Linked DNA regions of Drosophila melanogaster. The protein of the gene in region 1 purifies or fractionates together with the protein of each later gene. This does not show direct contact. Each region holds a gene or a part of one and is shown on either strand. Other genes may lie near its edges.

What was found. The genes of interacting proteins can lie anywhere in the genome.
Region 2: the proteins of CG15445 (region 1) and vis purify together in Drosophila melanogaster (affinity purification with mass spectrometry, with the first as the bait; 2 studies listed by BioGRID). This does not show direct contact.

What each region holds. Positions count from the first base shown.
Region 1 is NC_004354.4:21,115,317-21,120,960, forward strand, and holds CG15445 (uncharacterized protein), read left to right. Parts: upstream 1-1,844; 5' UTR 1,845-2,088; exon of another isoform or gene 2,089-2,146; 5' UTR 2,147-2,179; coding exon 2,180-2,299; intron 2,300-2,999; coding exon 3,000-3,455; intron 3,456-3,545; coding exon 3,546-4,346; exon of another isoform or gene 4,347-4,431; intron 4,432-4,462; coding exon 4,463-4,942; 3' UTR 4,943-5,128; downstream 5,129-5,644. Other genes in the region: unc (uncoordinated), read right to left, coding at 1-24, 140-424, 718-1,027.
Region 2 is NT_033778.4:12,507,351-12,512,149, reverse strand, and holds vis (vismay), read left to right. Parts: upstream 1-1,534; 5' UTR 1,535-1,710; coding exon 1,711-1,825; intron 1,826-1,883; coding exon 1,884-2,284; coding exon of another isoform or gene 2,285-2,371; intron 2,372-2,430; coding exon 2,431-2,579; intron 2,580-2,679; coding exon 2,680-3,066; intron 3,067-3,155; coding exon 3,156-3,257; intron 3,258-3,316; coding exon 3,317-3,438; intron 3,439-3,504; coding exon 3,505-3,684; intron 3,685-3,762; coding exon 3,763-3,881; 3' UTR 3,882-4,254; downstream 4,255-4,799. Other genes in the region: achi (achintya), read left to right, coding at 1-79.

The sequences.
Region 1 (5,644 bases):
CAGCAGCCTTGCTCAAGAGCTGGCCTGGAACGGGTACATTTATGGTTAGATCGATTAATAAATTAAAAAGGGGGTTTTCAATAAACTTTGAGATGCCAAATAGTAAAATATCTTTCATTAGTTTGATTAGCAAACCCACCGAGTGCCGTATTATTGAAGCAGTGAATGAGCTCCACCCGCAGGTGAGAGTGCATCTCCCGGGCAATCCCCTCCTGGTCCAGCCACTGGCGGAACTTCACCTCGAACTCCTGCTCCGACATCGCGGCCAGTTCCTCGAGCTGTTGCCTCAGCCGTTCCGCCCTGGCATCGGAGTCATCCTGCTCCTCAATCTGATCCTGAGGAATAGGTACGTGCTTTCTGGTAGGCCTTCCTGTGCGGTATCCGTGTGCTCCAACCTCCGGGGGCAATGATGATCCCCGCGTTACTGAACACAAAATGGGATTATCAGTGAATATGAATCGCTATTAAGTTCGTAAAGGTTTATTGTACTGAATATTTTAATTTGAAAAGATTATTTTTCGAACAAATTTGTGTACGTCGGAGTATAAAGATTGCTGGTTTCTTAGAGTTATAATAATAATAATAAAAATAGTTATAATAATAATATTAATAATAAAAATAATTATTATAATAATAATAATAATAGTTATAATAATAATAATACTTATAATAATAATAATAAAAATATTAATATTATTATAAAAATAATAGGCCCACCTCTAGTTATATTTGATGGTCCGCACGGTCCTGGTCTGCCCAGTCCGGTTGCTTGGAGTCGCTCCCTGGACTGCGTCATTCTCCGCCTGGCGGGATCGCCGTCGGTGCTGATCCTTCGATTATGCTGGCGCACCCGCTGTGTCGCCGACGCCGCTGTGGCCCGCTCCTGCTTAATCTGCTCCTCCCGCTCCCGCTTTGCGGCCTCGTGCTTCCGCTCCCGCTCGCAAGGCATGCCGATGCCGCCCACATCCCGCTGCTTCGCCCTGAACGATAACGTTGTCGTGCTCGCCGGCACGTGGCGAACCTTCATGCCGTCCTGAAGGAACTCGAGGCTCGGATGGGATCGAGAGTTGGTCTGCGTATGCTCGGATAGAACCTCTGACCGCCGCTTACATGCGCCGCGTTTGAGTAACTGAACTTTCCAGGTAAAACGAGCACGAGCGCAAGACACTCACCACCAACAGCGAAATGTGACAGGTGCGACGGAGCCTGCCCTGCCACCTGGGAACTGAGTGAAATTGGGGAGGAGGTCAACTCGATCGTCGGGGGTTGGTCCTCCTAAAGGCGTCAGCTGTGTTGCCTATGTGAAGCGTGCTCTAAAAATTAAGTGAAATATATGACAACTGAGTTCTATGAAATGGTATTCTAAGCAAAAGCTTATTTATCATAAGTAATTGCTCACTAATACTTATAACGGCGGCAGTATTTACTGCCGAGCCCATATTAAAACAGCAATACTTCTTGTGGAAGCGTGTATTTGGTGTATTTTTCACAATAATAATATTTTGAATTTTAATTCAAAACAGTTCCGCTTTAAAGTTGGCAGTTGACTATCGATAGATAATTGTCCGCAAAACAGCTGATTGCTAAGTAGTAAGTGCATCAGCCGTACTGACGGTGAAACTGAAATATGAGTTTCTTGCGTTAAATGGTATAGAAATAATATAATATAAATCAACAAGCACAGCTGTGTTTGCCAATGCGTTTTTATAAAAAACCAAATTTGAAGACTTTGACTATTAACGGGCAGAACGTTCATGTCAGTCAGCTTTTGCAAGCGTTTCGCTGTGGCTGACAGATGGCCGAGTGCTGCAAGAGCCGATAGCTATCGAGTTGCAGTTGTTGTGTCAAACGACAAAAAAGACCCAATTGCGGTGATTCCACCAGGCAGAGCTTATCCCATACGAAGACGCAGCACAGTTCACATTAAATAAATTTCCGTAAATAGTTCTTATTTGTCACCCGCCCAAAATTAAAGTCTACTCCACTGCACCCAACCCCGCGATTATCAACGACTGCGCATCGTTCTTTGTTGTTTCGTGTAGAAACACATGTGCAAGGAAGAAGAAGAACCAGAACATCACATCACTCGTAAATAGTAAATATCTAGAGCATGCCCGATCCTTTGTGACGCGTCAGTTTCAGCCAGTTCGCCACAATTTTTGCCAAGTCATCGTCGAAAATGTCACAAAACGACAACCTACTCATCCAGATCCGCGCCCTTCTCCAGTCCGATGGCGAGAAGCTGTGGGAGGAGCCCTACTACTCCGAAGATCTTGGTAGCATCGAGGGAGCACTAGAAGTACGTACTATATGCCCACCACCCCACACCTAAATGCCTTCCAGTCAGTGGTCGGGGAAATGACAAGAATGCCTGAAATACGGTTGGCAATATAGAAATATTATATTCAAAATGCATATATTATATATATATATATATATATATATTATATATTTATTTGTTAGTTCTTTTCACATTTGAAGAAGTAAGAAGCTAGTTTCGACAAGCCGTAACTTATATACACCTTCAGCTAAGTTCATATTATTAACACTTATTTTAGTTTGATTAGTTTGATCATATGATATTATTGTCCAATTAAAAATACTTAAAAAAAAAACAACATGACATTGCACAAACGAATCTTTTAAATTCCTATTATACTTTAATAATTCTGAATTACAAGAGTAACGACAAAGATATTATTTAGTTTCCTTATATAGGTTTTTGATCTGTTTCGCTTCGACTTATTTATAACGCCTAGAATAAAAATAAGATTTTAAACCGATAGATTTGTTGGCGTGTGAAAATGTGATTGCTTTCTTGAATTATTATTTATTTTTCAATAAATAGAGGTTGAGGGATTTTAAAAATAAAGTAAGACCAATAGTAGTCAAAAGAATAGCACATTACCAGCATTCATACTCAGGAACTCAGTAGCTTTGGATTAATATAATATATAATATTTTATTCTATAATAAGATGTGTATCCATTTCATTAAAGAACCTGGCGCAGAAGTACTCCGGCATGTTGGGCATCGATATAGGTCGCTGCAAGTTCTTTTTGACCGAGCTGCAGGAAAATGCTCTCCGTACGCTGGCCGCCCGACGTGAGTTCAGCACCACAGGAATTGCCACGTTGAAGGTTCGCCGCGTTGGCGAGCACAGCGGTGCCACAATGGTGGAAGTGAAGTGCAGCTTGGACATCGTGGGCTCCGAACTCCAGGCATGCATAGCGAAGAAACTGGAAGTGCCGAATGCTGCGCACGTCAAGTGCATCGCTGCCGGCAAAGTGGTGTCCGCCAATGCCACTTTGGCCGACCAGCAGTTGAAGAACAACCAGCAGTTGATTGTCATTGTGGGCGATGGGGATAATTCTGGCGAAGCCCTGTACGAAAGGATCAATCGCATCAAGGCCGATGTGGAGGCGGTGGTGTCCTCGAAGAATAACCTAATAGAGGTGAGTAAATCGGAAGGAAAGTTGCTTAGGTTGTTGTTTAGAAGGTTTTTTAAATCACACCACTTGTTTGTATTTTCGTGTCATGCCCAGATGGAGGATCAGAATGGCAGCCAAGTGTATTTGCCGCCTTCCGAGCATAAAGCCCTGCTCATGGGTTTGGGATTCTGTGAGAAGGCCCGTGCGGCCATGAATCGCAAGCATTTTGAGGAGGCTCTGCTCCTGCTTTTGGAGGCCGACGAGCATTTTTCTACCTGTGGCTCAAAGTTTCTAGAGTCCGTGGATAACTATGCTTTGCTGAACCTCGACATAGTGTGGTGCTATTTTTGCCTGAAGAACGTTACCCAGCTCCCGGATGCTGAGCATCGCTTGGCCCGCTGCAGTCGCAATTTCGGCATCAGCTATGGCGACAATTTGGAGAGGCTGTACTCCTTGAAGGGCAAGGACTGTCCCGAGAGGGCTTTAATTATGCGGCTTAAGTTGCTCCAGGGCGTGATCTTCTTCCACCAGAATCTTCGCAATCAGGCATTTGAGTGCTTCGAAGCGGCTAAAACTCTGCTAAATGAACTAAAGATCAACAACGACCAACTGGCTCTCCTGGTCGATATGGGCTTCGAGCCCTCCGAGGCTCGTATGGCCCTGCGCTCCTGCAAGGGCGGCACCGCCGTCGAACAGGCTGTTCAGTTTATTCACGAGCGTCGTCAGCAGCTCAAGAATGCACGCATGAAATATAAAGCGTCCGAGCGTGCTATGGAGCGCCGCCTGAAGCGCTCCAATTCCAAAGATTGCACCTGGGTGAATCCCCGCAGTGTCTGCAGCCTTGCTGACATGGGATTCGAGAGCGGACTGGCCACTATCGCCTTGCAGCGCTCTAATAATGATATCCTCCAAGCGGTAAGTGTGGCCAAGAATATATTCAATGACATGAATTGATCAGTATGTTTTAACTATAATCTCATGGATGTCACGTGTTTGTAAACTATAAAATAATAGAAATATTTTTTTCTTAGGTGGAACTGCTGCAGACAGAATCGGACGAACTTACTGGTGCTTCGCCATGGTTTCCGGTCACCGTAGACACGACCAAACTGGCTCAGCTTCTGCAACTGGGATTCAACGAGAACGACTCGCGCGTGGCCCTACAGAATGCATCAAATAACATGGAAGAGGCCATCGAGAGTCTGATGTGCGCCATAGAGAGCGAGGAGGAGCTGAAAGCGATTTTAAAGCACGTTGGGCGTTTGGCCGAAAATGGTGGGCAAAATCTTGACGGCCCCTCTACTTCGAACGCCTCCGGGCAGACGCAAGTTGCTTTGCCAGCGCCCATTATCGAAGCTGTTATCAATCATGCTCGCGTCGAGATTGAAACGTACAAGGCCTACGAGCGCTTTAACTCCGACCTCAAACTGAGCGACCTGGAATACCTGGACTTGCCACTTATCCAGGAGGAGAAGATCCTGACTGAGTATTTCAATATGCTGCAGCAGTAGCTTGTATTTGACTTGCCTTTTTTATATCTATACAAAAAAATATAGAAACCCGAAACCGGTTGTCAAGATAACTGTAATCATGACTTGTCTATATTGCAAATCGTAGTCTTATAATGGCACTTAAGTGGCATTCAGCTCCCCTCCCGGCTGCTGTTTGTCCAACTAGGCAAATAGTAAAATATAGAGATTTATAAGTACATGCCTTCTATTGACAACTGCAAAATGTGATTGCGCCGAGCCAGCGGGAGAATTCACCTTTTGGAGCCACCTGAAACTTGTTAGCGCCTCTGGTCATTGCTTATTTTTTTTTTATCGTTTGTTTTTTTTTTTGTCGCTTGACTCTCGACCCCGGCTCGGACGGCGGCGCTTGATTGGGTTCAGTCGTGACCTTGTCGAGGCCAAAGGGCGCCGCTCACTAAGCTCATCCCGTCGACGAATTGAGCGGAACTTACACGATTTGCTGTAAGTATTTGCTTTGCTTAGCAAAGAATTTATTTATTTATTCAAGTAGCACCAAGACTAAATATTATAAGTCAACTAATTGGTTTTCTATATGTATGTACATACATATGTGTAAAATAGTAATTTTCTATTTATACACGTTACTCGCAGAGTGAATAGTATGTAAAATGTTGTCTTGTACAAATTGGCACGGTGCCATAGGATTAAAGTATCCTGCGGCAAATGTGTTGCAAACATGTG
Region 2 (4,799 bases), on another chromosome or scaffold:
TTATCTAGTGGAAACTGCCATGGCTGTGCGCCAAAACGATGACGTCCAGGATGACGATTTCGTTTACATGGGAGACTAGAGCCTCAAACCAAATACCCACGCTACAGATCCCGACTTCCCAAAGTGCCGAAGCGTGTATATACAAATATGTATATATAGATATATATATATACTTAAGTAATTTAATCGAACAGCACTAGACCCAAAAATTTGTCTATAACCCCCATGTTATTGTGTTAATTGAGTAGGTTACTAACATAACGTACAAAGCTATAGATCAATTCGCAATGCGACCGCCCAAATACCTTTTTCCACAAAGTCAATTCACAAACAAATCGACTTAGTTTTGGACCTGACTCTTTTAAACTTAACATGTACACTACTGATACTTAAATAAAACATAAACAAGCATTTGAAATACACATTGCCATAAAATGATGGTGTGTTTTATCTAATTGGCTGATAGAGCCATTTTTTTAAGGTATCTAGTAATTATGTACACATACATACATAAAATGAGAACGTTTGTGGAAGGACAAAATTAATTTTGTTATAAATATTATAAATGTATTGGAATACTTTGGTTACCACAGATAATAAAGAGTGGCGCAAAAACAAAATGATTCGATTTTTAACTATAAAGCTATAGAACAAAAAAAAAGAATGATATATTCGAGTTCCCCGGCTATCAGATACCCGGTACATATATGTGAAAATGTGAACAAGAAATTTCATAATTTTTCTGGGGTATTGATAGATAATTCGGAAAAAAGAAATATCCAAAAATTTTCAAAAATGAGGGCGTGAGTTTTGCGCTGTTTTAGGGCGTTACAGTGGGCGTGGCAAAAAGTTTTCATTTTTCAAAAGTGTGGGAGTGGCATTTTGTACGGTTTGAAAGCGTTGGAGTGGACGTGGCAAAATAGGTCCACAAACTTGTGATAGTTCCTGACTTCATACGAACGGACAGTCAGACGGACGGACGGACAGGTCGACTCGGGTATTGATCCTGATCAAGAATATATGTGTTTTATATGGTCGGAGAAGCTTCCCTCTGCTATTACATACTTTATAACGAATCTAGTATACCTTTTTACTCTACGAGTAACGGGTATAACAAGTGACGATCGCACCTCCAACATACAAATCTTCTGAAATCAAAATGATATTACATTTGACCAAATAAATGCGCTTGTCTAAATTTTACAAATCAAAATTTTTATAAATTTTGGATAAGGTAAAAAGTACATTTCGAGACGCCCGTTACTTGGGCGCGCAGTGAATTTGTCTAAATATTCATGGTCTCTCGTGTGCAAGCGCAATGTTTGTGCGATAGTTATCGATAGTTGGCCCTAACTTAATTAATTTTAAATATTTATAAAATTCTCCTGTACTTAATTACTTACTTTAATACGTTCGATACAAGCAGACCGATTGAAAAGAACCATTTTTAAAAATCAATTGAAAAAATTTGTTTTTGAACCCTAGTTGGCCATGACTTTGGTGTCTGAATGACTTGCCTGCCCTCGGGAAAAGTTAGTTGAATCTCAAAGTCTGTGGTGACAACACCTAAAGAAACTAAAAAGTGTCAATTTTCTCTGTTTGCAAAAATTGTAATTAAAGTTACTGTGCTTTTCCTTTCAATATTTGCACACCGATTCTGGTTGTGTTTTAATGAATTTTCTGTTTTCTGAAGCTTAAGTCTGAGCTGCAATGATCTCGCCGGAACAAGAGGAGGTCAACATGGTCCTGGATCGCCATGTACGGCAGAACATAAAGGACCTGATGCACGAGGCTCATGTCCATGCGAGCCTGCTGAACAACGAGGGTGAGTTTCCTATATCCCGGTTGAGATCAGTCTTGTTTATGGCCGTTTTTTTCTCCAGGACGTGACCGTTTCCACTCGGACTCCAGTTTGGACCAGGATTCCCTTCACGCCGTCGTTGGGAATGATCTGAGCACCGAACAAGGCGCCAACCAGGTGCAAAACTACCACGACATGATGGTGGACAGTGAACACCACGTCGACATTAATGGGTCGCTGCGCAAACGTCGCGGAAATCTGCCCAAGTCATCTGTAAAGATTTTAAAGCGTTGGCTTTATGAGCACCGCTATAACGCCTATCCGAGCGATGCGGAGAAGTTCACCCTGTCCCAGGAGGCCAATCTGACGGTGCTCCAAGTGTGCAACTGGTTCATCAATGCCCGTCGCCGCATTCTACCCGAGATGATCAGGCGCGAGGGCAACGATCCTCTGCACTTCACCATATCGCGACGTGGCAAAAAGGTTAGCCCCAACTGTTCGAGATCAAGTGCGTTGGGCGCAAACTTGACTGGGCCGAATCCCGCACACGGAAGTCCTGCTTCCGAAGTGGTGTGTTATCTTCTGGTCAATCATTATACCACTGAAGTTACTAAATTGCTTGACTCCAGGTCGTTGGCGCTACAGAGGAGGTGGATGGCGCCGGTGAGATTCACGAGGGCATCGCCAATGTGCTGACCAACTTTGAACAGTATGTGCAGGGCCCCAACGGACAAATGGTCAAGATGGAGCCGGAGTACGAGGACAGTGTCATCTACAGGTAACTGGTAACCGGTCTTTATGACCTGCTTCCCTAGCGTTAGTCACTTCTATCTCCTATCCCATCCCACCTACGTCCAAACTCCTTTTCCTCTTCCAAGCTGGCAGCAGGCCATTGCAAACAACCCGATGGGCTTTCAAAGTCTTCACTCCTCGCTTCAAGCAACCATGATCGATAAAATTAAAAACTATCAGATGCGCAAGGCTGCCGCCATTGGGGGTTCGGCGGTTGGCTCTGGTGGTGCTGGTGGGTCGAGCTCCAACTCCAGTCCTGCCACATCCATACTGCCATACAGCCTTTTTGGCCAGCTGCCGCCAGAGTTCGATGACGAAGAAAAGCCAAGACCTCCGAAGCGCGTAAGAACGCGGACGGTTGCTGCAAAGAGTCCTAGGGAGAATGCCAAGCAAGCAAAGCAGAAGACTGGGAATAAGCAAGAAACCATGTACTGCTATAAGGATTCATACGGCGGAATCGTGGTGTCTCCTAGGTACAGCTTCTGCTCCCATTGACTGATCCAGAGCCTTAAATCTTACTCAAGTGCGACTGGCGGTGCTAAGATTTTACTTTTACCCCCAGGTCCGAAGGCGAAGAGAGTGCACAGGGATACGAGTCCTGTGGGCCGAACAGCGAGGAGGAAGTACGCTTCGAGACCTCCCATGATTGGCAGAGCGTTATAAAGTAAGTAGCTATGTGGATGTATTAAGAAAATATTGTAATCTCGGCCTCTGCAATTCCAGAACTGTATTTGGGACTGAGGAAGTCAGCACTTCGGCTGGCAATAATCCAGGTACCTCTGGTTCTAAGGCATCTGTTCAGAATACCGCCATCTGGAATCGCAATCAGACTGCGAAGCGTGACGGTGAGTGAAGTTTGCAGACTTAGAGCTCGGTTTCTTTGGTAATATCCAACTCTTTTACTCCTAAAGTGAATCAACAGTTGACAGACTTTGAAAGCGAGCTGAATATAATACAGGCCTCAGAAATCCAGACAATCGATCCTACCAACTCCAATCAACAGGACATTGGTGACAATCTACAGGCGGACGAGGTGTTTACCGGTGCCGAAGCAGAAGCTGGCCAGAGTCAATTATCTGCTCTATCGCAGGGTAACCTATACCTGTTTTTATTCAACTTTTTAATTATTTTATAACATTTTTATAATTTTATTTTAAAATCTCGCTTAGGCACCAGTTCAGATGAGGAGGGCAAGTACAAGTGTCTCTATTATCTAGTGGAAACTGCCATGGCTGTGCGCCAAAACGATGACGTCCAGGATGACGATTTCGTTTACATGGGAGACTAGAGCCTCAAACCAAATACCCACGCAACAGATCCAGACTTCTCAAAGTGCCGAAGCGTGTATATACAAATATGTATATATATATATATATATATATATATATATATATATATATATATATTTAAGTAATTTAATCCAACAGCACTAGACCCATAAATTTGTCTCTAACCCATGTTATTGTGTTAATTAGGTAAGGTTAGTAACATAATGTACAAAGCAATCAATTCGCAATGCGACCGCCCAAATACCTTTTCCACCAAGTCAATTCAGAAACAAATCGACTTAGTTTTGGACCTGCCTCTTTTAAACTTAACATTGTGTACACTACTGATACTTAAATAAAACAAAAACAAGCATTTGAAATACACATTGCCATAAAATGTTGCTGTGTTTTATCTAATTATTAATATTTTGATAAATTTTGGATAAGTTTAAGAAAAAAGTTTTAAACCGCTTTTACAACGTAAATCATTAAATTGCCATTCTATAGATGTTTTCCCCAAACAATTGTTCTTTCCTAAATTGGTACAGTTAATGTTTCATTTATACAATTATGCTTTGAAAACATATTTCGAATTAAGTATCAAAGCATTTTCCTGAATGATGGTTAGTGGCCTTCGGAGGGTGTCTGATTCGTCACTACGTAAACTATTTATGGTGGTCTAGCGTGTTACAAGCTCTGCGAGTGGAGATACTCTTCAAAGAGTAGGAGCCGATTTTTCAATTGCATGTTTGGTATAATTTCTTGATATGCTTTCGTACATTGTTGCATTTTTATTTATTTATATCCATTAATACCAATTTGACGCACATTCTTATATTTACCTTCATTTGACGTCCCAGTATGTTTTGGTATTTCCCAGTATAATATTCGGTTGTATATACCGTCCCGTTTTCGGTATTTTTCATATGACTAAGATG